Sus scrofa: one gene and its partners. The protein of the gene in region 4 interacts with the protein of the main gene of each other region in a pairwise test. Links are inferred from orthologs where the notes say so. Each region holds a gene or a part of one and is shown on either strand. Other genes may lie near its edges. The genes, in order: SGF29, FAM81B, EPC1, RINT1, SFR1, FAM110A and RIBC1.

What was found.
Region 1: the proteins of RINT1 (region 4) and SGF29 interact in binary tests that used the Homo sapiens proteins (3 or more experiments, as listed by UniProt). The two-hybrid records come from large-scale screens. The link is inferred for Sus scrofa from reciprocal best matches to the Homo sapiens genes RINT1 and SGF29.
Region 2: the proteins of RINT1 (region 4) and FAM81B interact in binary tests that used the Homo sapiens proteins (3 or more experiments, as listed by UniProt). The two-hybrid records come from large-scale screens. The link is inferred for Sus scrofa from reciprocal best matches to the Homo sapiens genes RINT1 and FAM81B.
Region 3: the proteins of RINT1 (region 4) and EPC1 interact in binary tests that used the Homo sapiens proteins (3 or more experiments, as listed by UniProt). The two-hybrid records come from large-scale screens. The link is inferred for Sus scrofa from reciprocal best matches to the Homo sapiens genes RINT1 and EPC1.
Region 5: the proteins of RINT1 (region 4) and SFR1 interact in binary tests that used the Homo sapiens proteins (3 or more experiments, as listed by UniProt). The two-hybrid records come from large-scale screens. The link is inferred for Sus scrofa from reciprocal best matches to the Homo sapiens genes RINT1 and SFR1.
Region 6: the proteins of RINT1 (region 4) and FAM110A interact in binary tests that used the Homo sapiens proteins (3 or more experiments, as listed by UniProt). The two-hybrid records come from large-scale screens. The link is inferred for Sus scrofa from reciprocal best matches to the Homo sapiens genes RINT1 and FAM110A.
Region 7: the proteins of RINT1 (region 4) and RIBC1 interact in binary tests that used the Homo sapiens proteins (3 or more experiments, as listed by UniProt). The two-hybrid records come from large-scale screens. The link is inferred for Sus scrofa from reciprocal best matches to the Homo sapiens genes RINT1 and RIBC1.

Annotation. Positions count from the first base shown.
Region 1 is NC_010445.4:18,385,131-18,389,388, reverse strand, and holds the start of SGF29 (SAGA-associated factor 29), read left to right. Parts: upstream 1-1,458; 5' UTR 1,459-1,759; intron 1,760-4,258. UniProt on the Homo sapiens protein: Chromatin reader component of some histone acetyltransferase (HAT) SAGA-type complexes like the TFTC-HAT, ATAC or STAGA complexes.
Region 2 is NC_010444.4:102,008,565-102,012,064, reverse strand, and holds part of FAM81B (protein FAM81B), read right to left. Parts: intron 2,098-3,500; coding exon 1,984-2,097; intron 1-1,983.
Region 3 is NC_010452.4:42,850,023-42,853,522, forward strand, and holds part of EPC1 (enhancer of polycomb homolog 1), read right to left. Parts: intron 3,074-3,500; coding exon 2,914-3,073; intron 1,639-2,913; coding exon 1,462-1,638; intron 1,383-1,461; coding exon 1,293-1,382; intron 1,210-1,292; coding exon 1,061-1,209; intron 1-1,060. UniProt on the Homo sapiens protein: Component of the NuA4 histone acetyltransferase (HAT) complex, a multiprotein complex involved in transcriptional activation of select genes principally by acetylation of nucleosomal histones H4 and H2A.
Region 4 is NC_010451.4:105,406,353-105,409,852, reverse strand, and holds part of RINT1 (RAD50-interacting protein 1), read right to left. Parts: intron 894-3,500; coding exon 720-893; intron 625-719; coding exon 475-624; intron 1-474. UniProt on the Homo sapiens protein: Involved in regulation of membrane traffic between the Golgi and the endoplasmic reticulum (ER); the function is proposed to depend on its association in the NRZ complex which is believed to play a role in SNARE assembly at the ER.
Region 5 is NC_010456.5:115,063,645-115,067,754, reverse strand, and holds the start of SFR1 (swi5-dependent recombination DNA repair protein 1 homolog), read right to left. Parts: upstream 2,801-4,110; 5' UTR 2,661-2,800; coding exon 2,648-2,660; intron 1,856-2,647; coding exon 1,743-1,855; intron 982-1,742; coding exon 568-981; intron 1-567. UniProt on the Homo sapiens protein: Component of the SWI5-SFR1 complex, a complex required for double-strand break repair via homologous recombination. Acts as a transcriptional modulator for ESR1.
Region 6 is NC_010459.5:34,434,930-34,439,091, reverse strand, and holds the start of FAM110A (protein FAM110A), read left to right. Parts: upstream 1-1,362; 5' UTR 1,363-1,600; exon of another isoform or gene 1,601-4,162.
Region 7 is NC_010461.5:46,206,963-46,211,070, reverse strand, and holds the start of RIBC1 (RIB43A-like with coiled-coils protein 1), read right to left. Parts: upstream 2,801-4,108; 5' UTR 2,448-2,800; coding exon 2,286-2,447; intron 902-2,285; coding exon 820-901; intron 619-819; coding exon 274-618; intron 1-273.

The DNA of each region.
Region 1 (4,258 bases), on a different chromosome or scaffold from region 4:
ACGCCAGATTGGAGGCGCGTCTGTGACCTACACCACAGCTCACGGCAACGCCAGATCCTTAACCCAGTGAGCGAGGCCAGGGATAGAGCCAGCAACCTCATGGTTCCTAGTCGGATTCATTTCCGCTGCGCCACGACAGGAGCTCCTGTTGCTCTGATTTGACCCCTAGCCTGGGAATTTCCACATGCCGTGGGTGCAGCCCTAAATAGCAAAAAAAAAAAAAAAAAAAAAAAAAAGAAAGAAAGAAAAAGAAAAAAGATTAATCCAGTGATACATGTTAACTGATACATAGTTATTGCAGGAAACTTCAGAAATTAAAGATAAATTCAAACAAACAAAAAAATTGAGCCCCAGGAGTTCCCTCTTGTTCAGTGGGTTAAGGATCCAGTGTTGTCACTGCTATGCCTCAGGTTACAGCTGTGGTGCAGGTTGGATCCCTGGCTGGGAAACTTCCACATGCCATGGCACAGACACCCCCGCCCCAAAACGAGCCCCAAATCTCCCTTGAGGAGAAAATAAAATTGACATTTGCCATTCAGGAGAAATAGCTTCTGAGACTTCATTTTTTTAAAAAATTTTATTTTATGGCTTCTCCCGCGGCACATGGATGTTCCCAGGCTAGGGGTCCAATTGGAGCTACAGCTGCTGACCTACACCACAGCCACAGCAACACAGGATCAGAGCCGCTACACCACAGCTCATGGCAATGCCTGACCCTTAACCCACTGAGCAAGGCCAGGGATCAAACCTGTGTCTTCACAGATGCTAGTCAGATTAATTTCAGCTGCGCCACTACGGGAACTCCTGAGACTTCAATAAACACGAAAATGCGAACTCCTTGCTTCTGTAAACCCCATAAAACGCAGGATATAGAACTGAGACTGGGTAGATGGTCATGCAACTTACTGAGAGACCACAGAAAGAAGAGTAAGTTTGATGGTAAAAAATGTTGCATTAAGTTTTGGGCTGAAATGGTTTGTGTTGAAGTCTAAGACTCTAATATGAATTTTAAAAAATAGAACGCTTATTATATACCAGCCACTATGGGTGTATATAGGTGAATAAAACAGTGGATCCTAACCTCCCTGAGCAGGCAAGTGTACCAAACAAACGTAAAATTTGGTATGGGTTATGTAAGAGATTACAAGATACTAGGATGTAAACCGTTGTGGTTAAACATTTGCTCACAATGACAATATGTTCCTGACAATACTCTCTAAAAGAATGATATCTGGGTTTACAGATCTGCTTATTTCTATTTATTTTTAACATTTTTTAAATGAACTTTAATTTTTGAAGCAGTTTTAGCTTTCCAGCAAAATTGAAGGAACAAGTACAGAGTTCTCATATGCCCACTGCTCCCCCTTCAATCAACAATCTGCTCGTTTAAAAATTTTTTTATTGTTTCATCGAGGTTTTGGTAATAGGAGTGGATACTGAAAACACGCTCTGGTTGGTTAAAACAAGGTTCAGCTGAAGAGGCGGAAACTCTGTGTCCAAGTAAAAACTACATTTCCCAAGGAGCAGCGCGGCACGGGAAGAGAGCGCACGCGTAGAGAGGAAGACAGCGCACGCGTAGAGAGGGTCTCGCGCTGCTCATAAAAGGGAAAAAGCGTGCGTGGTTCTTGAGCCGCCGCGAATCTTCGAACGTGAGCGCGTTGTTATCCGCAGACTCTGAAAGGCATTCGAGGGAAGACGCGCCTGCTCCCGCCGTCGCAGTTTCCAGCGCGACTTGCTTATTCCACCCGTGGTTCTGTAGGTGGGTATACGTCGTGGTCTGAGGCACTGCTTGGCTCCCCGCACCCCCGCTCGGAGAATGGCGGGAGCGGAGGGCCGGGGGGTCCCTGTTCTCGGGCGTCGCTGAGGCAGCTCTTGAGAGGCAGTGCGCACGCGCCCTGGACCGGGAGAGGCGGGGCGCTGGGAGGGAGGGCTGGCGCCGACCTTCTCTGGTAACTGACTGCGCCTGCGCTCGCCGGCTGGAAGAGGGTGGGAAGCCGCTGCACGTGGAGCTTGGCTCCGTGGCTGGGAGGGGTGGGTACGCACCCCAGGTGCGAGAGAACAAGGGCAGAGGATGGGGCCCGCACTTTGGCAGCTTTCATTATTTGCTGAAGGTGTGCTTAGTTTAACAACCTCATTCTTCATATTCCTCCAGGTGCTTTCTATTTCACTGCAGCCAAAACTTCATTCTCTACTCATTAGCCCCTTTTCTCCTTCAAACACACTCCAGTAAGGCCTTGGCTCTCACCCCTCCACTGAAATGGAAATGCGTGCTTCATTTGCTATGCGGAACATTCTCGTCTTCAGCTTCAGCTCTTTCTGGTTTCTCCTCTGCTGATTCTTGCTCTAACTTACCCTCAGTGGTTGGTTGTACTGCCCCACAGCCTCATCTTTGATCTCTTTTCTGTGCTGTTTCCTAGGCTTTAAATACTCTCTCTTTTTTTTTTTTTTTTGTCTTTTTGCCATTTCTTGGGCCGCTCCCGTGGCATATGGAGGTTCCCAGGCTAGCGGTCTAATCAGAGCTGTAGCCACCGGTCTACGCCAGAGCCACAGCAAACGTGGGATCCGAGCCGCGTCTTCGACCTACACCACAGCTCACGGCAACGCCGGATCCTTCACCCACTGAGCAAGGGCAGGGACTGAACCGGCAATTTCATGGTTCCTAGTCGGTTTTGTTAACCACTGAGCTACGGCGGGAGCTCCTAAATACCATCTCTTGTGTTTAACTCTCAAATTCTTGTCCTCAACTCATTGCTCTACCTGAAATTTTGAGTTTTACCATTCACCTTCTTCAGTTTTCCAATTTTTCAAACACCTTGAGTTATACTAGATGTCTTTTGCTTCCCCTCTGTCCTCTTTCTCCATCAGTCAGTACATGTTTATCTGTTTATATACTTGTTTATGTGGCCACACCCACAGCATTCCTAAGTTCCCAGGCCAGGGATCAAATCTGAGCTGCAACTGCCAGCTAAACAGGATCTTTTAACTCATGGCTCTGGGCTGGAGATAGAACCAGCACCTTGGCAGCAACCTGAGCTGCTGCAGTCAGATTATTGTTTATTTATTTGCTTTTTAGGGCAGCAGGTGTGTCATATGAAAGTTCCTGGACTAGGGATCAAATTGCAATTTCAGGTGCCAGCCTATGCCACAGCCCATGGCAATGCCAGATCCTTAACCCATTGAGCAAGGCTAGGGATCAAACCTGAGTGCTCATGGATACTAGTCTTGTGTTGCCACTGAGCCACAAAGGGAGCTCCCTGTAGTCCGATTCTTAACCCACTGGGAACTCAGACAGTCTCTCTTCAGAGCATGTTAACAGGAACTGATTTGTTTTCCAGGATCAGGGAGAAGATACTGAACAGTCCAGCTTCAGAACTGTTGCAGTGTTTCTAAGTTCAAAGACCGTTTTAGGAGGCCTCCAGGGAGTACCCTGGTGGCCTAGTATTTAAGGAACTGGTACTGTCATTGCCGTGGCTCAGGTTGGATCCCTCTGCAGGTTACAAGTATGGTGTTAAAAAAAAAAAAATTTCCAGGATTCAGTTCAGTTCTGCACTTGCTTTTGAGGACTTAGTAGGTGCCAGGCCCTGTGCTAATTGCTGGGAATATAAAGATGAATAAAAGTGCATCTCTCTCTTTTCAGAGATCTTGGTGTGGCAGGAGAGACAAACAATATGGTAGTCTCTGGGTGCATGTGTGACAAATGCAGGAACAGATGTTTGTGTCCGGTGCTTTAGAAGTTTCTGGAAGTTCTGATTGCCCATGGCATCAGGGCAGATTAGAGGGGCCTGAGACAGCCACATCTCCCTGCCAGTTGTTTCTGGCTAGGAGCAGCTTTGTCCTTGTACCGTAGTATGCCATACAAATACTGTCGTGTTCTCTGTGTGCCCTGGTGTGGAAAAGCTTGGCAGGTAGTGCTGAAAAAGTGTGAATTTTGCTGCCATTTGATTTGGGCCCTGAAAAAATGAGTAAATTTGAGAGATCCAGAGGCAAAAATGGAGAAGGATCGAAGGGCAGACATAACTGAAACATACAGGTCTGCTTGTTTGAGGCAGGGGCCCTGAGTATTTCAATATGGGTATCGTAGGGTAAGGTCAGTAGAGAAGGCTGTTTGAGAGGTGCCATTCAGGATCTGAAGCAGTGCCTTGAGAGTGTTTTGTACACCTCAGTGTCCGTTTTTATGAATACCTCCCCCACCACAAGGCACCCTGTTCTCAGTGGGTAGGTCTATTAGCATCCATAGTTTTAGAGATTAACTTTCTGG
Region 2 (3,500 bases), on a different chromosome or scaffold from region 4:
TAGTCCTTTGTGAGTACTTGTGGAATGAAAGAATATAATGAATATTGTGTGCAAGGTCAGTAGGTTACCAGCTTATTGTCTTCCTTTCTCCTTCTAAAGCGAAACAATTGGATATATATGTTTTATTTTATTTTGTTCATTTTAAAGTCTTGTTTGGAAGACTATAAATAAATAGCATCCTCTTAAAAGCACAACCATAACCCACATACTTTTTTTCTTTTTTTTTTTCTTTTTTTTTTTTTTTTTAAGGCTGCACCTGCGGCATATGGAAGTTCCTGGGCTAGGGGTGGAATTGGAGCTGCAGCTGCGGTCTACACCACAGCCATGGCAACACTGGATTGGAGCTGCATCTGCGACCTATGCTTCAGCTTGCAGCAACACAGGATCCTTAACACACTGAGCGAGGCCACAGATCGAGCCAGCCAGCATCATTCAGGCTCTCAGCCCACTGAGCCACCATGGGAACTCTCATGCTTTTAAGGTAACAAATGTTAAACCTGACAATTGAGGAAAATTTGGAAAAATATAGAAAAGTAGAAGATACAGAAAAAAATTCTCATTTATAATTCTACTATCTAGAGCAAAAGCTGTTAACCTTGTGGCACATTTATTTCCTCTTTCCTGTGCAATTTTTTAAATGTAAATTTTATTTAATGTATTTTAGACTAAATTTTCATAATTTTGCTGAGTATGAGTCAGCTATTTCATCCCTATACCTACACTCTAAAAGTAATTATATCAAAATTGTCTCACAAACAACTTCTTGATTATTATGGGACATTTTACATGTGTTAATTTTCATCAGTTTCATAACAATGCTTTATGGTATAATGGACTATAAAATACTTTCACATGCATGATGTGATTTCATTCTTGAAATAGCCCTGGAAAGTAAGAATCATTACCTTTAACTTATGGATAAAAATCGTTAACTTATATAACTGAAATCCTCCTTTTTTTTTTTTCTTTTTAGGGCCACACCCTCCACATATGGAAGTTCCCAGGCTAGGGGTTGAATTGGAGCTGCAGCTGCTGGCCTACACCACAGCCACAGCAATGCAGAATCCGAGCCACATCTGCCACCTACACCATAGCTCACGGCAAAGCCAGATCCCCCACCCACTGAGCGAGGCCGGGGATTGAACCCACATCTTCATGGATACTAGTCAGATTCATTTCTGCTGTGCCACAACGGGAACTCCCTGAAATCCCTTTTTATTGCAGAAAGAACCTAAGATGATTGTTTTTATGGGTGACGAATCTCAGGATTGGGGAAGCAAGGAACTTGCTTAAGATCATACAGATGATGGTAATAATCAGACTGAGTCCTTCCTCTGTCCTTTTGGCCTCTGTGGCTCATTCAAATGCCATATCTTTGTATGGTAGCCTAATTTGCCTATTTCACGGAAGAGGAAACAGAGCTTAAGTGCCCAAAGTCACATAGCCAACATGTGGCTCAGCTAATAGATACCAAAAATAGTGCTTGACATAGGGCTAACTTCCCGGTGCTCCTCCTGCCACAAGAGGCTGTGCCTGCTGCTCAGGTGTTCGAGAATTACAAAGCAAAGGCTGAAAACACTGCTGCTTTGAATGTTCTTTTTAATTAATGGGGAAGATATCACAAGGACATACCAATAAAAATTCTATTTAGCTATTCTCTTTTTCATATCAGAGATAACATCTACACTTTGCGTTTATCATAGTTCCTTTGAATTTTCACAAAATAAATAATCATCAATTTTTTTGTTAATTTTTAGCCCCACATGTTAAAAGTCAGTCCAGTATTCACAAAATGAGATCCTTTTCCTTCCCAGCTTGAGCTGGCAACAGTCACTTTATCAAAGCAGAACAAACAGGAAATGTGGGAGAGTGAAAAGAAAAACAACACTTCTAGGACTCCTTAGAATTCTCTAAGCAATATTAAGCTCTGAAGAAGTTGAGCAAAATATTCTATTTTTAATACGAATATGTAAAAGTACTTGCTTTCTTTTCTTGGTCACTGGCTGAGCCAGGAAGGGGGCCATCAGGTTCATCTGGCTGTTCCTCAGCAGTCAGGGAGGCACTTTTGTTTACATCTGTATCTAGGCAACCAGAATGCTGAATCAGATCAGGAACTATGGCAAGCGAATTTTTGCAGTGCGGGCAATTTTTAAATATTTTTTAATTGAGGGAAGTTGCTGTACATAACAATGAAGTTTAAGGGGAAGCTTCCGATTTGCTTTTACCCTCCTCCCACCTTAATTCTCTCCCAAGTCCCCAAGACATGTACAGTCAGCTAGAATAGCTTAGGAAATTTGTGGAGAGGCACTCATTTAGATCAAACTGTTCTAAAACAACAGGAAGTGATTTTTCACTCTACTGTGCCTGAGCCATTCAAGGGTCTTCTTTGGGATTTATTACCTTGTTTTTATGTAATAATAAATATATGTAGGATAGCAAAGTATGAGAGATTTAGAGATCTTGAATAATCCATGAGATAAATACCTGAACTCATGATGCTTGACTTCCTGACTTTATTTTTTGTCGATTGGATTTTTTGGATAGGGAGTAGAGATGTTTAAAATTTTCTCTCTCGGAAAGCCAAAGTACTAAGGAAACTTGATCGCATCCTGACTAAAGTCTTCTTGTTCCTGGGGCATCTTCCTGGCATGGCCCAGCAGCATTGTGACTGCAGGAAGGATCTGTGATGTCAATGAGGTTGGCTCTCATACTTTAGGTCTGTGGGTCCCTGGATTAGGAGCTTCAAGTGTTTTCCTTAATGTTCATTTTTGTAAAAACCACTAGGTCCTTCACCTCACTGTCTCACTGGGTGAGGAAATGGTTATTTTTATACCATTTTATACCTTTCCACTGATTTCACCTTCACAGTTTGATTAGAGACCAGTTTCCCTCAAATTAGACAAAGAAAATGAGAGGCTGCCGTACTTCCCATATTCCTCCAAGCATGAGTGAAGGCAGCTAACTCTTCTAGGCCACTAAGTGGAGTATCACAAAGAATGCAGCTAGGGCAGGTGGGTGGGTGAACTTGAGGCTCACAGAAGAAATTTGCTTCATTCGTTTGGCTTGTTTCAAAAAGATTGAATTGTTTCAGCTCTGAAATATTTTCCTGAGTTTTAAAATTATAATTTGCATATTGTTCTAATACTACTTGGCGCTTATATACAGAAATGATGTTTTCGGCTGAGTTACTTTTGAAATTATGGTACTGAGTTTGCCTTTCTCAGAGGATACGCAGGGTGTTCAGGATGCTGAATGACAAATTTTGATCCCACAGGAAAAAGCACTCCTGATTTTGCTTCAAAGTTATGTCTTCTAGTGGTAAGCTAAGCCCTTAAAACTTAGAGGTACAGTATTTCATGCTTTGCAAGCACTCTAAAATGCTCACTACACCACTCTGTCATTTTATAGAGTGCCAAGGGAGACCAGCACACCAGTGTCTGGGAGCGGGTGGCTATGGTTGCGGAGGGTTTTGGTTAGAACTCTGACCCCTCAACCTACTG
Region 3 (3,500 bases), on a different chromosome or scaffold from region 4:
ACAGCAATGTGGGATCCAAGCCACATTCATAACCTACACCACAGCTCAGGGCAACACTGGATCCCTGACCCACTGAGCGACGCCAGGGATGGAACCTGAATCCTCACGGATACTATTCGGATTTGTTTCTGCTTCACCACAACAGAAACTCCGTTTTGTTTTAAAAAAAAATTTTTTTTTCACATTTACTTGAGTGTCTTTGTCTTTCTTTGCTTTTTTAATTTCCGTAATTTCTTCCTTCCCCACACAACCTCTCACACCAAGGCATCTATAGTGTGAAGGGCTTCATCAGGTTTAAACAAAGAAGTCCAGACAAGGCGATATCAAGGCTTGTGAATCCTGGAGCCTTTCCACTGGGAGTTAACTCAGTATACTAGTTATGTGACATTCCTTAGCCTATTTAATCCTTTTCCCCCAATGTCTCCCAGAACTCCTAGAACAATTTTGTGTAGTCTCCTTAACTTAATACAATTTATGTAATTATGGTTTACACTTGCCTTCATCTGCTGCCTTTTCTCAGAGTTCTATCTCTTAAGAATAGATATCTGAGGTTTACAATCTCAGGAAGAAAAGCAGATCCATTAGGCAACTATTAGTTATGCATTAAAAGCTATGGCTGAATAAGAAATAGGTATCAGGAGGTCCCGTTGTGGCACAGCAGAAACGAATCCACCTAGTAACCATGAGGTTGCAGGTTTGATCCCTGGCCTCGCTCAGTGGGTTAAGGATGCGGCATTGCTGTGCAATGTGGTATAGGTCGTAGACGCAGCTCGGATCCTGTGTGGCTGTGGCTGTGGCTGTGGTGTAGGTCGGCAGCTGTAGCTCCCGATTTGACCACTAGCCTGGGAACTTCCATATGCCATGGATGCGACCCTAAAAAAAAAGAAAGAAGAAAAAAGAAAAACAAAGAAACAGGTAGCCAGTATTTTAGTCCAAAAAATTGGTTAAGAACAGCAGGTGGGAACAAATGAGCTCTTTAGACAGATGACCTCACTTTAACTTGAGATCCCCTGACCCCGCCACCTAAAACATCCCCATTGCAAGAGTACAGACACCTCACCTTCCACCGCGCCCAACCCGTCTTCGTGCAAATCCAATGCACCTCGGGGGTACGGTCAGGGTGGTTAAGCAGTATCGGTATCGCACATCCCCCAATCCGCCATCGCCAGGACTAGTCCAAGGCCAGTTGCCAGTTTGGTCTAAGTGAGGCTTAAAAAGAAAAACCCCAATTATTTTTCTTGGTCAGCGAGAGGTAAACAGTCTGTCACTCGAGAAGAGAACTAGGAACTTACCGCATAGTACTGACAGCCTGCCTTCCGACGGAAAGCAAAGGGGCCATCGGGGTCATTCTCTTCCTCAGCTTCCGAAGAGCCAGACAAAACCTTTCAATGGAAGGAAGCCAGTCAGAACGTGTGCCTCCCATGTTACCGCCTGTGTCCGCAGAGAACCCTCGCCACTCACCTGGGACAGAGGCTCTTCATCCGAGCTGGGGAAGTCGTACTGATTCAGGTCTCTAGCGCTGAAGGGCGGCAGCGCGGCGGGGCTCGCCTGTTGAGGGGCAGCAGCAGCAGACGAAGGTAAGACTTTGGGCTTCTTTTCATATTTACGTTTAGGTCGGGTAAGATCGGCTTTATCTTGCTGCAATACAGTCAGGAATTAAACACTAGAAACCATGTTCAACAAACTGAAAGTTCTGGGGAAGTCTTAAAAATAAGTTCACTGCTAAAATGAAGGCCTTTCTACCATCAGAGACACAAGACCTTTACGTTTTGTCGTCTTACACTGTAAAGTCTCAGAGGCTGGTCTCTGTGAAAACATAAGTATGTTCCTACAACCTAAACATAATCATCAAGTACTGTTTCCATTAAAGTCAAAGTTCTCCAGCCTCTGAGATCTTGCAACTGCAATTAGTTTTTACCACTGGCTCTTGTATCTTTTTCTTAACTTCTATGAAAATGCTAGGGCAGAATTTTTCAAAAGGGATGCCTAGTCTTTAAAAAAGTAACAAATCAACCCTGGAAAAGCATTAATTAAAACAATTTTATATACACACAGAGCAAACTTCAGATAACTGTTAGCATAGTGAAAAATAAATTGATGATGCAAAAGTATTAAAAAAATAAAGAGTACATAGGTCACAACTGTGGCGAGGCTTCAATCCCTGGCTGGGGAACTTCTGCATGCTGTGGGGGCGACTCCCACCAACACCCCCAAAAGTCAAGAGTAGTAAGGACTTGCTGGCTCAACAACGAAAGCTTTTTGGAGTGAAAAATTGTGAGCAGTTTTAAAGGATAAAGATATGAAATCATCAGATAGGGAAATGCAGGGATAAAAGAGAGAGAGGCAAGAGTGATGGAGTGAGGATCACAGTGCCTATTACAAATGAGCATAGCAGGTGATGGCAGAGGCTGTGGGGGTACGAATTCCATGTGTAGGCAACAGGCAAGAAAGATTAGAGGCACAAATGATATTTCCTGGGAAGAAAAGAACATGGCAAGTATCATGGTTGTATAAATATGCTAAATATTTATGTCAAGTTTCATACAATTTATGGCATTAAGCTTTTTAAAGAAAAGTTAATTATTAAATGATGAAGTATTTCTCTTTATGATTTCTAGTGCTGTATCAACAGTCCAGTCTTAAATCAAAATCTGGTTTTAAGAGTAGGGTTTATATATATACATAAACATACATATTTCTTTTCCACTCTGATTTTTTTTTTTTTTTGCCATACCCAGGGCATGTGAAGTTCCTGGGCCAGGGACTGAACACTTGCCACAGCAGTAAAGCAGAGCCACAGCAATGACAACTTCAGATCCTTAACTGGCTGAGCTACCAGGGAACTCCTCATTTTGAATGTAACGATAAAACACCACTAACATTTTCAGCTATTATCAGAGCAATTTTTATCACCTTATTAACTTTAAACTCCTTCACATCCATGGCTTCCTGGTGTTTAAACTGACTGCTGTTGCTGATGGGGATGGTGGGGATGGTGTAAGTAGGTTTCATTGGCTGTCTCTGTGCCATAACCTCAGACATGATCTCTCCATTGTAGTCACCCAAATTATACCTGAAATTATAAAAAGAAAGTTTAAAAAGTTAGTTCTACACATACTTATCCTCATGACTACTAACAGCTAACTGAGGTATAACTGCAAACACTGATTAGCCTTAAGGTAAGATTACAGTTAAACCTTGACTATTTGCTGAATGCTTATTAAAACTACAGATGACATAATTCCTATCATTTCTTTCTTTTACTTTTTGGCTTACAGCTTTCTCTCACCATTAACAGATAACTGCAGGAAAAACCCAAAGGTTTAAATTTTAACACAGCAATTTTGGTGAAAGATTTGGGAGAGATGTTGAAATTCATGCCTAAAACAGTGCTGAGGAACTTTCTACTATTTTGAGTTGCCTCTGCTATAAAACTACTTTGGCTGAATGAATCGTAAGAATTTTTTTTTTTTTTTGGCTTAGGGCCACACTTGCAGCAC
Region 4 (3,500 bases):
TATGGAAGTTCCCAGGCTAGGGGTCCAACTGGAGCTATAGCTGCCAGCCTACACCACAGCCACAGCAACACAGGATCCGAGCTGTGTTTTCGACCTACACCATAGCTCATGGCAACACCAGATCCTTAAATTCACTGAGTAAGGCCAGGGATTGAACCTGCAACCTCATGGACACTAGTTGGGTTTGTTAACCACTGAGCCACGATGCGAACTCCTGCCCTTTTTTTTTTTTTTTTTTTGATTGTTTGATTGCATCAGATTTATATGTGATTGCAAACTTGGATCAGTCATGTATCTCAGAACTCCTCACAGCCCTTCCACCCATCACCTGAAAGGAGACTAGTCCACGCCCCATGGGCATATACAGATAAACTCCGAACCCAGTGGTCCCATTTGACTTCTTGCTTTACTCTCTGCTCACAAATCCACTCTAGAAAAAAGAAATTTTAGTCAGTTTTAACTCAACAAAGATACGAGGTTTGTAGTTTTAGCAGCTGACAAAATAGTGTCTCCAGATTACTGTATATCTCAGGGGCACCGGCTGGTCGACTTATGCCAACAGTTTGAGACTGAGGGGGTGCAATGAATGGCCAATGAAGCTGTGCTAGAATTTCCTCAAAATCACTGTAACAGACAAGTGACATATACATTACAGTCAAATACGAGCCTCAAAAATCTGTCTGAAAGCAATGACCATGAAATATAGATAAACTCCTTGCCTTGTAAGCTTGTCCTTGAGAATCTTATGCCAGAATTTAACAGTGGCCCTCATGAAACCAAGAAGATGAGTACAGGATGATTCCTGAAGCTTGATGTCAAGCTCTGCCATAGACACCAGAGTAGAGGCTGCCTCTGGGACATTATTGGTCATCAGATATTGCTGAATGTTATCACTGCAAAACAAGGCAAAGCCAAATTGAAAAAGTTTGAGAGCACCTGTTTCAGCTCAGCAGGTTATGAACCTAACTAGTATCTAGGAGGATTCAGCTTTGATCTCAGGCCTCACTCAGTGGGTTAAGGATCTGGTGTTGTCGTGAGCTGTGGTGTAAGTCAAGTTGCAGTCTCGGCTCAGATCTGACATTGTTGTGGCTGTGGTGCAGGCCGGCAGCAACAGCTCCAATTGGACCACTAGCCTGGGAACCTCCATATGCCATGGGTACGGCCCTAAAAGAGACAAAAGACAAAAAAAAATCTTTAAAGCAAGCCAAATACAATATGTCTTCAGGACTAATTCAGCCCGGGACTACCATTTTGCATATTGACTCAATAACATGCAACATTTAAAAATGAAATGCTTTTTTTAAAATTACTCAATGAATTTTATTACATTTATAGCTGTACAACAATCATCGCAACACAACTTTATAACATTTCTATCCCAAACCCCAGGCACATCCTCCCACACCCCTGAAATGCTTCTGATTTAAAACAAAAAACAAAAAAAAATTTAACCTTCTCAGTTTAGAGGTCACCCCTACAGGAGATAGGAAATGTGTGCTCCCCTGCTGAGCAGCCTGTGTACCTTCCACCCAGGCTTGGCCACTGTGCTGGGAGGTGACGATGAGCTGGGACTCTGGTCCCTGGCTCAGTGTGCTGCTTCAGTTCCATTCCTGGGTGGGCACATCGTCCTCCTTAGGAACAGAAGTGTGTCTCGCCATCCCGCACAGCACCACCATGCATTAGTATTTTTTCCCTCTCCTTCCTCTACCAGCTGTTGCTGTTTTCTAGTCAGTGCCTCAGGCCTCAACAATCATACCGAGCTCATATTTGTATCATTTTGTCAGCTCTTTTGGCTTTCCCCTACGTACTCATTCTCTCATTTTTCTTTTTTCTCCTTTTCTAATCATTCTTATTAAGCCTTCCAACAGATTTTGTCTTTTACAGCTATCTCGAGAATTGAAAACACTTTCTTACCTCACTAGGCATCAACGAATGCAGTATTTCTGCAGGTAAGGCACTGGCAGGTCTTTGTGGGCCCTTTCCAACTGTCAGCATGCAGGCAAGTTACCTAAAAGCTTCTCACTGACTCAACCACTTCTAAGACGTATGACTCCTAACTAAGTGTTGCATTATGTTAAAACAAAGACTACCATGTTTAAGAAAAAAGAATTTAAAGTGCACAAGTAACCACAGGATTCAGGAGTACTGCATTCTAGGAGACAATGAAATACATCCTCACACAATAGTGAAGCGTGAATGACATGGGGCACAGGAAAAACCAGGGTAACAAGGTTTATTCACAGTCATACTGCTGTGCTGTAATAGTCAAGAAAAGGAGTTAAGGAGTTCCTGTCATGGTGCAGCAGAAACGAATCCGACTAAGAACCGTGAGGTTGAGGGTTAGATCCCTGGCCTTGCTCAGTGGGATAAGAATCCAGCACTGCCATGAGCTGTGGTGTAGGTCACAGACCCGGCTAGGATCCGAGTTGCTGTGGCTGTGGTGTAGACTGCAGGTACAGCTCCAATTAGACCTCTAGCCTGGGAACCTCCATATGCCGCAGGTGCAGCCCTAAAGAGCAAAAAAAAAAAAAAAAAAGAAAAGAAAAGAAAGAAACAGAGTTAATGTAAAGATGCTAGTTCTAGAAAGAAGAAATTACTTCAAAAAAGTTCCATGGGCTAAAAAACAGGTCACTTGAGGGAAATTAGAAAATAAGGAAAATCTCAGGAGCCCAAAGAAAGCTAGAAAGAGAGATGTATCATAAAAGACCCAGGGAAAGAACACTTTTTTTTTGCTTTTTTAGGGCCAAATCCCAGGCATATGGAAGTTCCAGGCTAGGGATCAAATTAGAGCTGCAGCTGCCAGCCTACACAGCCACAGCAACGCCAGATCCAAGCCACATCTGAGACCTACACCACAGCTCATGGCAACACTGGATCCTTAACCCACTGAGCAAGGCCAACGAGGAACCTGCATCCTCAAGGATACTACTTGGATTCATTTCTGCTACACCACAACAGGAACTCCAAGAACACATTATTAAAGACAAAGAGAAGTAACTCTACCCTACTTGATTATAAATTTGACTATTTCTAATATGATTCTTTGGGCATCAGGAGTTCCCTTCGTGGTGCAGCAGAAACGAATCCAACTAGGAACCATGAGGTTGTGGGTTCGATCCCTGGCCTTGCTCAGTGGGTTAAGGATCAGGTATTGCCATGAGCTGTGGTGTAGGTCACAGACATGGCTTGGATCTGGCGTTGCTGTGGCTCTGGCGTGGGCTGGCAGCTATAGCTCCAATTCAACCCCTACCCTGGGAACCTCCATATGCCTTGTGTGCAGCCCTAAAAAGACAAAAAAAAGTTTAAAAATTAAAAAAATAATGATTCTGACATCAGAAAAAGGCTATTTATAACTATAGCCTATTTCAATTAATTTATTACTTTGGCAACTACAACAGCAAGGCTTTTAAATAACTCATTTTACTTAATTAGATTATAAATATTGTCCCATATTGGGCAAGGAAAAATGAAGTAAAATAAACCAAGGTCTAAAATTCCTT
Region 5 (4,110 bases), on a different chromosome or scaffold from region 4:
TCCATCACCTATTCTACATTGTTGAGGAAGAAGGAACAATTTCAATATACATGAATGATCCAGGTAAATAAGGGTCATCTTCTTCCAAGTGCTCAAGTTCTGTTTACTTCAGCTATCTGAGTTGAAATCTAAAATCTAATATATATTTGTTATTTTCTTGAATACTTGGAACATTTTAATAATTTGGAATAATGCAAGATCACTACTAAGAATACTTTTTATTATACTCTGTGGCCCATTTTTAGATTTTTAACTCATTCCCTGTCAGCTGTCACTTCTGTTCTCATTGCAACCTGCAGCTAACATCTGAAACCTCTAATACTGTTGTGAGCTGGAAACTAGAGAGAAAAGCTTCCACTGCATACTAAATGAGGGCTGGAACTTTCCAAAAGTTGTACCTGCTGTTTAGAGGCCTCTTCTACTCTAAATCTATGACTTATATTTGAGTTAAAGTTGTTGGAAGCCAGGTTTCTTAGCTTATTACGCTAAAATAAACTTTATGAAGTGCTTTCCTACCATTTATCAAAAAATCAAAAAATAATTAGGCAATGGTTCTGAAATTCTCACCTTTGATCTATACATTTTGACTAGTTTTAGCCTTCGAAGAAGGTCTTCTTTCTCCTGAATCTGCTTCACCAATTTTGCTTTTTCTTTGTTTAATCCTTGTTTAGGAAGATTCTCGTTCATAAAATCATCTTGGAGATCTCTGCATGATTCAGTATCAAATGAATTAGATTCACATGCACTGATATTCTTGAAGGTATTTTTCGAATATGGACTTTCTTCAAATTCACTGTCTATGTGTTTAAAATTTTCTTGAAATTCCAAACAGTTTTTTTCTTCTGCTGAAGATGCTGGTTTCTCTGAAAAAGTCTGATCATTTTCTTCACTCTCAACTTTAAGTCGTTTTACCACACTATAACAGGAATTAAATGAAGATCTAGTTTTCCTTAACCTTTCTCTAAGGGTTGCACTCATAGGCTGAAAAAGACATCAAACATTGATACTATTAATCAAGAAAAACCTCCGTTTTTTTTTTTAAAGGCTGCACCCACCACCTGTATAAGTTCCCATGCCAGGGATCGAGCCTGTGCCACAGCAGCAACCTGAGCTGCTGTAGTGACAACACTGGATCTTTAACCTGCTGTGCCAGAAGGGAACTCCAAGAAAAAATTCTTGACATAAATAAATCCACTAAAAATCAAGACTTTACATTTCTATAGCAGAACCACTAGATGGCTTTCTGTCTCCATATATCTAAAGTAACCATCACGCAATGTCCAATTTCTGGAAGCTCGACTAAATTTTATTTTTTTATTTTAGCAAAGTCAGCCCCCTTCTAAAACAGTGTGGAGACACTTATCCCAGTAATCACAAACATTTATTCAGTAACTAGCCCACGCATGACACTATTCTAGGTGCTTCAGACTTACAAATTAAGGAAAAGACCTAGATTTTTCTACCAAAGACCTTTATGACCTCACAGATTCAAACTTCCTGTTTAGAATATTGTAATAACCTGAACTGAAACTAAATGAAAATTATTGATTCATGATGAAAACTTGGGCGGGAGCAGGGAGGAGGGTGTCCAATACATTACCTTAGGGGAATGACTTAAAAATTTTTGCTAAGAAAATTTTTACTTATTAGTCTACACATTGTTAACAATCTTCAATAGACTTAAAACCACCCGTGACACAATACTTAGAAATATAAAATTAGAAAATATTAGATTTTCATACTTGTTTTCTTGTACTACTTGTAGGGGGAGATGGTGGATTGGCACCGGCTTGTGGAGTGCTAGGTAAAATCACAGCTGAGTCTGGACTTCCCATCTTGAAATCTTGGTTTACTTCTAAAAAAGCAATAATGGAAATCAAATGAACCCATACCTCTACATTCCTCAATTTTTATCAAGTAATTTTTTTTTACTGTTGTGTGTAACATCCACAAGTAAGCCCACAACTTCCCTTTTCATTTAGTTGTGATTCATTCTTGATCCTTCTGCAGTTTTCCATTTACCTTCCTAAACCAGATAGTGTTGGTCCATATGGTGACTACTAGTTTTTTCAGACAAGTTAACCCGCTAGCTTCTTATAGAAACAACTCTCCACTTGTTCTTATTGATGAAGTCCTCAAAATCTGCCACGTGGAGGGTAGGGAGAATAACAACTTTGTACAGTCAGGAATTCTTTAATTTCGCCAATTTCATTACGCCAGCTTCACAATGAAAGGGAGCATAAATTAAGTCTTGACTCAAAAACACATAATCAGACCAGTCACACTACCCTAATCATCAAAGTTGTGTGACTAGAACCAATGACCGACGCTCCAGGCCTGAGGAACAAGGAGCATAAGCACAGACTAATTCACTCCTGTCTGCATTGTTTTCCATTAATGGCGAAGAGATACTGAAAGGGAGAGTCTACAGAAGTTTGTTTCTTAAACAAACGCCATCAACTTCACCAAGCAAACTACCAGAGGGAGGCGAACTCCCTCCCCGCCCGCCAATGCAGAAAACCAACTCGAGCCTCGAGCCCCCAGGCCTGAGGTGGAGCTGAGAGGTTCCCACGCCGCGCAGAGGGAGCGCAGCTCCATTCCCCAGTCAACTCCTAAACAGAGACCCACTCGGCGCCCTGGACCCTACCTCCCGCCGCCATCCCCACGCTGCGAGGCAAGCGGGCGCGGCCGCAGCCCTGGCCAAAGCGTCTCGGAGGCGGGACCACGCGGGAGGCCAAAGAGACGCGCGATTGGCCAGGCCGACCGACGCGCGCAATTTGGCTTTGCCTCGCGTTCCGGAGTGTCGCGACTGCGCGCGCGCGGCCCCGAGCCTCGCTTGGTGGCGGGGCGAGGCGGGGCCAAGCGGGGGCGGGGGGGGGCAGAGATACATGATTGGCTGAGTTGACCGACGCGCGCGGCTCTGCTCCGCCCAGCGCCCGGGAGGCTCGGGACTGTGCGCGCGCGCGGCCGTGAGCCTCCGCGGGCGTCAGGCGCGCGCCGGGCTGAGCTTTTAAATGGCAGACTGTTCTCGAGAAGGGGGCGGTTTCTCTGCGCGGCTTCTCCTCCCTACTGTTTCCTTGCACTGCCTTCCTTTCCTGCTTCCTGGGTTTTGTGTGTTTGAGAAGGACGCCTAAGAATGCTTGCCCTCATCTGGCCGGCGTCTGTCTCGTCTCCGCGCTCTCCACAGCAAAGGCCTTTCTTCACGCTGCACGGGACCCAGAGACGTGGGGCCGGCTGTGTTAAATTTACAGCTTGTAAACTCCGAAGGCGAGACCACAAAAGAGCAGCGCTGGCTTAAATGGCCTTTTGAGAGTCAAACAGGTTAGAAATCTGAGAGCGGATGCAGTTGAGCTAATTTTTAGCCTTTGCTGCCGCAAACTCGGCGGCACGTCCATGAGTTCTCTGCTGAATCTACCACAACATTTAGATTCTTTAGCTTGGCTTCAAATTGTTAAGTCAAATCTGAGAGAGAGGAAAAAAAAAAAAAATGTAGTCCAAGGAAAATTTGTCGTGGTGCAACACAGGAAGCCCAGCAATCGCTGAATAAGATTGTATTGGTCCAGAAGTTTGCCCTCGCTGAATGCTGGGCAGCAGTATCCTTAATCTAAAATAATCCTTTCCTGTGTGCTGCCGTTCTGATGCTGCGCAACAACAAAGTTAATTAAATTGGGTGGAGCACTAGGTTTAGGAGAAGACAGTTGAGTAATTTCTGAGTCACGTGGAAGTTGGAAATTTTAAGGATCCAATGTTTTGAATCCTAGCGAATGGCCAATTTAAACGTTGATACTGTGTTTCACTAAAATAATAATGGTTTAGAAGTAGCCAGTACCCGGTAGGAATTTAAGGTGTCCTGAACAGTGGAATATAAATACAGATCCTGAAGACGATATAATGCAGTGTTAGGGATGTAAATGTTGGAGTCCAGTTGCCTAGGTTCAAATCTCAACACCATTATTTTGTGTTCTTTGTAATGTAGTGTCTCTGTGCCTCAGTTTTTTCATCCATAAAGTGGGGATAATAGTATCAACCTAGATACTGGAGAATTAAGTGAGAACTCATGACAGGGTGAACAGCAGTAGGAAACACTCATTAGTTGTTATGCTACATATG
Region 6 (4,162 bases), on a different chromosome or scaffold from region 4:
TAGAATCTTTCTCCTCAGATGGTTATGAAGTCAAGTGAGACATTGTGAGTATGGCCTTGAGCACAGTCTAGCAAGGGCACAGTTAGTGCTGGGTTTTGTATTTAGCTGGTCCTCACAGTCTCCTGTTGATGTCAGAGCCAGTCCTGAAATGGCTGGCTGTGCCCATGCCAGAGTACAGTCATGGTTAGCTAGGGCTACATTATTAGCCCTCTTCCCTCACCTGCCCAAGGCATGTCACAGTCAATGCTCAATCACTGACAATCCAATCAAAAAATGAAAAACACCAGTTGGGACGGAAAACAGTCTGACTCCAAAATGAGCAATGCCCTAGACCCAAACAGTGACTCACAGCTAAAAAATTCCCTCATCTGGAAGGGCTGAGTTAATTTTTCTAATTCTCTTTTTAAAATTTGTTTTTTGGAAGTGCCCTTGTGGCACAGTGGGTTAAGGATTTGGCATTGCTGCAACTGTGGCACAGGCTGCAAATGTCATGCAGGTTCAGTCCCTGACCCAGGAACTTCCACATGCTGAGGGTGCAGCCAAAAGAAAACAATTATACTGGTTTAACTGTTGGAAGCTTGGAAAATTCATATCAGCAAAAAGAAGAAATTAACTATTGCACATGTTAATACATAAATGTAGTCCATGTGATATTACAATTACATATTTAATGCATATTTACATTGTACATAGTACTTTGACACAACTTTTAGAAATATAAGACTTAGTGCTTTCCCCATATTTTAACGTCATTCTAAATGACTGCATAATATTTCTCATCAGAAAGTGAGGATAGTTAAAGGTACCTATAACTATGAGCACTGACAAGAGTTGTGTCATGAAAAATTACTTGTAAAAAGCTCTGTAAACTCAGTTCTTCTGCAGGATGGATTTATATATCCAATCTCCTTTTACTGAGCACTGAAGTTATTGCTGTTATTTTGCTACAGTAAATAAAGCTGGGCTATATTAATCTTGTTCATATATTCGGTTATTTCCTTTGTCAATATTGAGAGTGCTGGATATACGCTACTTCAAACTAACCCACTCACTCTGCAGATTGGGGAACAGAGAGGGAAAGGGGCGTGCACGGGCTCACAGAGCGAGTTAGTTGGAAAGTCAGTACTAGGAACCGGGAGTAAGTCCCTGCTGAGCAAGGGCAAGAACCAGAGGCCACTGGGGAGGTGAGAGGCGGTGAGGGGCGGGGATGGACCTCGGTGCCGCCGGCCAGGGCTCACCCTCCTGGCTGAAGCTGAGTGGTCGCCTGGCAACGCGGGCGGCGCGGCGTTCGAACGGAAGCGAGAAACCAATCAGGATGTCCGGGGCAAACCATTCCGGTGTGGTGGAGGGGGGAGCGGCGCGTTCACTTCCCCTTCCCCTGCGTCCCCAGAACTTTACTCTGGTGGGGGCTTGGAACAGTCGAGTCCCCTACCTCCTCTCGGGTGTTGAGGGCAGCTCAGAAGGACCTCCCGTGCTTCCCTACGCGGGGCTGGGGCCTCCCGAGACGCGTTGTGTGCGACCGTTCCCCGCCTGGGTCCGAGCTGTCAGCCTCCTCAAGACCCGCACTGGAGGAGCCGGACTCGCCTAGCGCGGGCTCCAGGTGAGGGCACGGGTGGCCCGGGGCGCCAGCCCGGGTCTAGGGGGTGCTCAGTTCACCCTGCGCCTGCTGTGCGCGTCCTCCCCGCGTGGTACCTGCGGCGAGGAGGTGGTACCCCATTTCACAAATGAGAACGCTGAGGCTCAGGGAGGCAGTATCCTAGTCTAGCAGAGAATCCGATACAGGTCTTTCTGCTCCATACCTCAGTCTCTAGTCTACGTTGATCTAAATAGATCTGCCTTGAGAGGCTCAGATGGGTCACTTTCTTAGCCTCTTATCAACAGGAACATGGACAGTAGAGCCCTGGCTGGAGCCCCATCTGGCTGTCCCTCTCCCGTGTCGTCCTGCGGGGTGGGGGTGGGGGGTCCCCTCCTGGACATCTGTCTTCACTTCTCCAGAAAGCCAGGGGGTGGACTTTGGGCTCACTTGGGATCTTTCTGCCTGTGGGGCTCTGAATTAAGTGCTGTCCCTCTCAGAGGCTCTGGTGGGACTGACATTTCTGGGCTAGGTGCCAGGGGGGGCTGCTCTGGCTCTCCAGTTGTTGTTGGATTCTTGGGAATCTACCACAGGTCGGCGGGAAAGGCTAGAGGCAGCCCCTCAACCAAAGACACTAGTCACCAGAGACTTTGGAGTTGGGGGTGGGCCTGGGATCCCTCCTGGTAGAGCATCTGACCAGGCTCTGTTTCCTGGGGACCCCCACCCCCTATCTCCCACCCCCAGGTTGCTGCTGTTGCTGTCCTTTTGTAGGTGGGGAAACTGAGGGTCTAAGAAGTTAAGCCCCTTGCCCAAAGTCATATGGTCAGACTTGGCAACTCTGGGGCTGGCTCCCAGTCTATCTGGCTTCAATCTTGGATTCCTAGACACTCAGAATGGTGGCATCTGGAAGTCTGGAATCTCTTTAAGTGGAGTTACTTACCCTCTCTCCTCCAAATCCACCTCCTTGGTGGGGGGGAGAGGAGTTCTGGAAGCTCAGAAAGAAAACAAGTCTTTCCTTCATTCTTTTAACAAATATTTACCAACTTCATATGGCCCCACCCTCCCCCTTCTCTATTTTGTTTTTCTCAGTAGCATTTACCGCGCTGATGTCCTATAATTTCACTTATTAGCAAGTTTATTATCTTCTCTGACTGGAATGTGACGCAGGGAGGGGTTGGGCTAAGTGAGGTAGTTACCTCCAGTGCAAAATTGAGGGGTGCCTAAAACCCCAGTAATCAAATGACTAGAGCTAACATTTGTTGATCATTTGCTGAGCGCTCTGCTGGTGGGAGTTCAGTCGATATGCAGCACAGCCCCCCAGCTCTGTCGCAATTACAGGTGCTTCCTCCTGACCTAGCTGTCCCACTTCTAGGTGGAGTGACAGAGGTGCAGTGAGGCTGCAGTGTGGTTTGTAATAGAGAGAGACGACACACATACTTGGTGGCCGTTGCTAGAGGCTGACAGGTTCTTTATGTACTGATGTGGCACAATTAATAACATAATTGATAATATGTTAATAACACATATTAAGAACAATATAACTGAGTTAAAGAGCAAGATGAAAACAGTACAGAGAGCTGTTGCCATATGTGTAAAAAATAGACTATATGTCCATTATTGTTTGTTTGTGACTAACATCTCACTGGGAGGACGTGCAGCTATCTCGTCGCAGTGATGCCTGCAGGGAGGGAAACTGGGGACAGGAGTGGGAGGGAGGTTTTTTTTTTTAACTTTATTCCCTTTAGAGCTTTTGAATTTTGAGCCACATACATATATCACCGGGTTAAAACATATATGTCTTATAGGAGTTCCCACTGTGGCGCAGTGGAAATGACTCCGACTAGGAATCATGAAGTTGTGGGTTCGATCCCTGGCCTTGCTCAGTGGGTTAAGGATCTGGCGTTGCCGTGAGCTGTGGTGTAGGTCACAGATGCGGCTCGGGATCCTGTGTGGCTGTGGATGTGGCAGAGGCTGGCAGCTGTAGCTCCAATTGGACCCCTAGCCTGGGAACCTCCACACGCTGTGGGTGAGGCTCTATAAAAAGGAAAAAAAAATTATATATGTATATATATATGTATTATAGATGATCTAATCATGAGACCACTGTCCTGTCTCTGTTCTGTCACTTGCTCGTGACTTTGGGTAAGTTTCTGTACTTCTCTGGGCCAAGAAAAAAGGCCATGATTGTGAGCTCAGGCCCAGGCAGAGGGCAGCCTGGGACAGGAAGTGGGCTTGGTTGTGGGTCAGTCCCAACCCCACCTTCCTCATCCTGTGTGCCAGGCCCTTCCCAAAGGCTTTGCATGGCAGTATCTCTGCTGCCAGTCCCTTTGTCCTCATCTTGCAAGCTCAGGTGCACACCTGGCGTCCAGAGGATTGAGTGGGCAGAGGTGTGAGGTCGGCGGGCCAAACAGGAGATCGTTGCCTTAGGCTGCGGCACCCACACCCCTCCTGCAGCCTGTTTACCTCTTCTTTCTGAGGTTTGTGCAAGGTTGCCCTGGGCAGAGCTGACTCCAGGCAGGCTGGGGCACGAGTGTCTGGGAGAAGTCCAGAAATAGCACGGGGCCCGCGTGGCCCTAGAGGATGCCCAGC
Region 7 (4,108 bases), on a different chromosome or scaffold from region 4:
CCCAGACCAGCGAAAGTTGCAGAACCATTAGGCCTGTGGTCTCTCTGCTGCCTCCAGGTAATGGAGTGCCAGGCTGATTGGGGCTCAATGGCTATACTGTCAATTGATGAAGGAAGTCAGGGTGGTTGGGACCTGCTCACTTTACCCTTTCAGCATCAGCCCTATGGGTAACTGGACCTCCCAACACAATACTGGTTTTCTGGGTGCTATACCCAGCTCAGGACAGCTCCTTGCTAGGCCTTAGGTCGTAACCTGGATGGCCCTGCAGCTTACCTGCACAGTTATAGTCAATTCTGGCTTGCTGTTGTTCTTGAAGCTGCCTCTCCAGGCTATATCTGAACTGCTCTTGCTGCATTCTCAGGTGTGTGGATCTATTCAGGTCCTCCCCGGAGAAGTACTGCAGGCTGGCTGGGCCACAGTATGGATCATTGTTACTGAGATGAGGTGGAAACTCCTTCCAGAGTCGGTGTGGATCCCAAAGGTCAAGCTCACTCCTGTTCTTGAGCTGCTGCTTCTGCTCCCGAAATTCTTGGACTTTCTTGGCCAGCCGACGTGTCCGTTCTGCCTGTTCTTTCTCTAGCATCTGAGCCACCACATCATACTGCACCTGGTTAGTACCTGGGTGGTGGGCAAGGACATGGAGAAGGCCCCATGGGAGGGACAGAGCCCACTCAGCATAGCCACTGCTCCCAAAGGCCCATCTGGTTTGTCCCAAGACACCTCAGGCCTCAGGCCCCACTCTGAGGCAGAACTGCCCTCCTTTAACCCACTCAGGCCCTTGTTTTCCCCCTTGGTTGGCCTCTGCCCTTGGGCTTTTACCATAAGCTGCTTTCTTGCTCTGCTCTGTTGCCTCCTGAAGCTTTCGCTCTTCCACCTGGCTGTTCAGGGCTTCAACGTCCACCTGATCCCAAAGAAATGAACTAAATCAGGGTAAGGGCCCAGCAGCGGGCCTTGCATGCTCTAACACAAACTGCTCAGAATTTACCTGCTGCAGAATCCTCCTGTAGGATAACCAACACCTACTGGATGATGTTCACCATCACAGCATGGTTTGTAAGTCCCTCAATGGTCTAGCCTCTGCTTCTGTCTCCACCTTGTCCTGGTTCCCTTTTCCCCTGTCCCACCTTCAGGAGCTCTGCATCCAGTTCCCTGCACATCTTAGGCTATTTTGAACCAATAGCCTTTGCTCCAGCTGCTGCTTGCATTTAGAATACTCTTTCCTCTCCTCTTTACCCATGAAGGGTACCCCTGAACTCCTATTCATCCCTCAAGACCAGCTCTGGCTTCACTGTCCTGACCCCTCCAGCAGGTGCTACTCCCATAGAATCAAGGACCCACTGTCCACATTATATTGAAGTTTCCCTACACCAGAAGTTATCTCCTACACCAGACCGTGTGCCTGCTAAAGTCAGAGAATGGGCCTTAGTCACCTGTGTATCCCTACTGCCCAACCCAGTGTTTGGCACAGAGTAGGCTCTGAGGAAACACTTGCCAACTTCTCTCAGTCACACCACTCACCTACCTACCCAGCACTCTTGTTTTTTCTTAAACTATCAATAGTTTCTCAGAGTTCCCATTGTGGCTCAGTGGAAACAAACCTAACTAGTATCCATGAGGATTCAGGTTCAATCCCTGGCCTTGCTTAGTGGGTTAAGGATCCCGTGTTGCCATGAACTGTGGTGTAGGTCACAGATGTAGCTCAGATCTGGTGTTGCAGTGGCTGTGGCATAGGCCGCCAGCTGCAGGTCTGATTGGACCCCTAGCCTGGTAAATTCCATATCCCGCAGGTGTGGCCCTAAAAAACCAAAAACCAAAAACACTATTTTGATTAGAATTCATTTAAAATGTTTCAAAGTAGTGCAAAAGGGAATACGTTTAGTGATGAGCAAGTGCCCCTCCCATCTCTGTCCTCAGGCCAGTTAACAGTTTCTTATACAGCCTTCCAGAGTTTAGGCAAATGCAACACAAACAGTCCTTAGATTTCTTTTGGCTCCATTTGTCTGTCTTTCAGGAACGAGGCCACTTGGCCCGGAGCTAACTGGAGGAGAGTCCACTGACACTGGCTCCTGTTCTCCCAGTTTCTTCCCCTGCACCCCTAGGCCCTTCCCACTCTGGGTGTGGGTGCGTTTTCCCCCTCTTCCTTCCTTTCCAGCCTTAGGGTCTGCTTGAATCAGGGAGGGGCTGTGATGGGCTGTGACAGGCTGTGACGGGCACTGCTATGTTCTTCTCCAGGTGTAAGAGTGAGCAGGACCCTGCTCCAGAGAAAGTTCCCACTACCCACTCACCCCCATGACTCTGGTCCGCACATTGAGGAATCGGCTCTGTCGCTCCTTTTCTCGATTTCTTCTAGCCTCTATGGCTGCTGCCTCCTTGGGATCTGGTGGCAGGTCTGTCTTAAACATCTGGAGCAAGGGTAAGGTGAATGGCCAATCAGTGCTATCCATCATCCTTAACTACACCCCACCTTTCTCCCCACAGTATCTCACCAGTTACTGATTCCCACTGATTTTATTTCCTGATATATTTCATATCTGGGCCTTTGTACACTGCCTTCCTTTGTTTGGAATGCCATTCCTCAGCTTCTTCTATAGCTAGTTCCAGTCTCTCTCTTTTTCTTAACCATTTTGTAACTAAAATAGTTGATACATACAGAAGACTATATATAAGCCATATGCAAATTAGGAAGTATGATAAAAGAGCATGAACCAACTCCTCAATTTAAGAATTAGAACATGGGAGTTCCCGTCGTGGCTCAGTGGTTAACGAATCCGACTAGGAACCATGAAGTTTCGGGTTCAATCCCTGGCCTCGCTCAGTGGGTTAAGGATCCGGCGTAGCCATGAGCTGTGGTATAGGTCACAGACGCAGCTCGGACCCCACGTTGCTGTGGCTGTGGTGCAGGCCGGCAGCTACAGCTCCGATTGGACCCCTAGCCTGGGATCCTCCATATGCCGCTGGTACGGCCCTAAAAAGACAAAAAAAAAAAAAAAAAAAAAAAGGGAAAGAAAACACACAAAAAAGAAATAGAACATGGGAATTCCCATCGTGGCTCAGTGGTTAGTGAATCCAACTAGGAACTATGAAGTTTCGGGTTCGATCCCTGGCCTTGCTCAGTGAGTTAAGGATCTGGTGTTGCTGTGAGCTGTGGTGTAGGTCGCAGATGTGGCTCAGATCCCGAGTTGCTATGGCTGTGGTGTAGGCTGGCGGCTACAGCTCTGATTGGACCCCTAGCCTGGGAACCTCCATATGCCGTGGGAGCAGCCCTAAAAAAGGCAAAAAGCAAAAAAGAAATCTGAGTCCTTGTGAGAATTACTTTCTAGTGAGGACGGACAGACTCTAGAGAGTACATTAGTTTGTAAGAAAGTAAGTGTTTTGGGAAAAAATACAGAGCAGGATAAGGGGAACTGGAAAGTGCCAAGGAAATTGGTGGAGTGTTGCAATTTTAAATATGGAAGTCAGGGAAGGCATAACTGAGAAGGCAGTTTGTGAGCAAATACTTGAAGAAGGTGAGGGAGTCTCCTATGCAGATATCTAAGAGGAGAGCACTCCAGGCAGAGGGAACAAGTGCAAAGGCCATAAGGTGGATATGAGAGAAACACATTCAAGGGGATAGCAGGGAGGCAAGTATGTGAGTGAATTATGTAGGACATGACGTTAGAGAGATGGAGGGGGGGCGGTGCAGAGCATGTAGAACTTTGTAGACCATTGTAAAGGTTGCGGCTTCTATTCTGGAATAGAAGCCGTGGCAATATGATTTTTCTGGCTGTGCCTAAAACTTGTGGAAGTTCCCAGTCCAGGGGTCAAACCCATGCCACAGCAGCGTCCTGAGCCACTGCAGTGACAATGGGTCCTTAACCCACTGTGCCACACCCTTGTGTGTCTTTGAGTTTTAGAGGATCACTCTGGCTCCTGTATTAATAGACTGGAGGGGGAGTTCCCGTCATGGCTCAGTGGTTAACAAACCTGACTAGTATCCATGAGGTTGCAGGTTCGCTCAGTGGGTTAAGGATCCAGTGTTGCCGTGAGCTGTGGTGTAGGTCACAGATGCAGCTTGGATCTCACATTGCTGTGGCTGTGGCATAGGTCGGCAGCTGTAGCTTCGATTAGA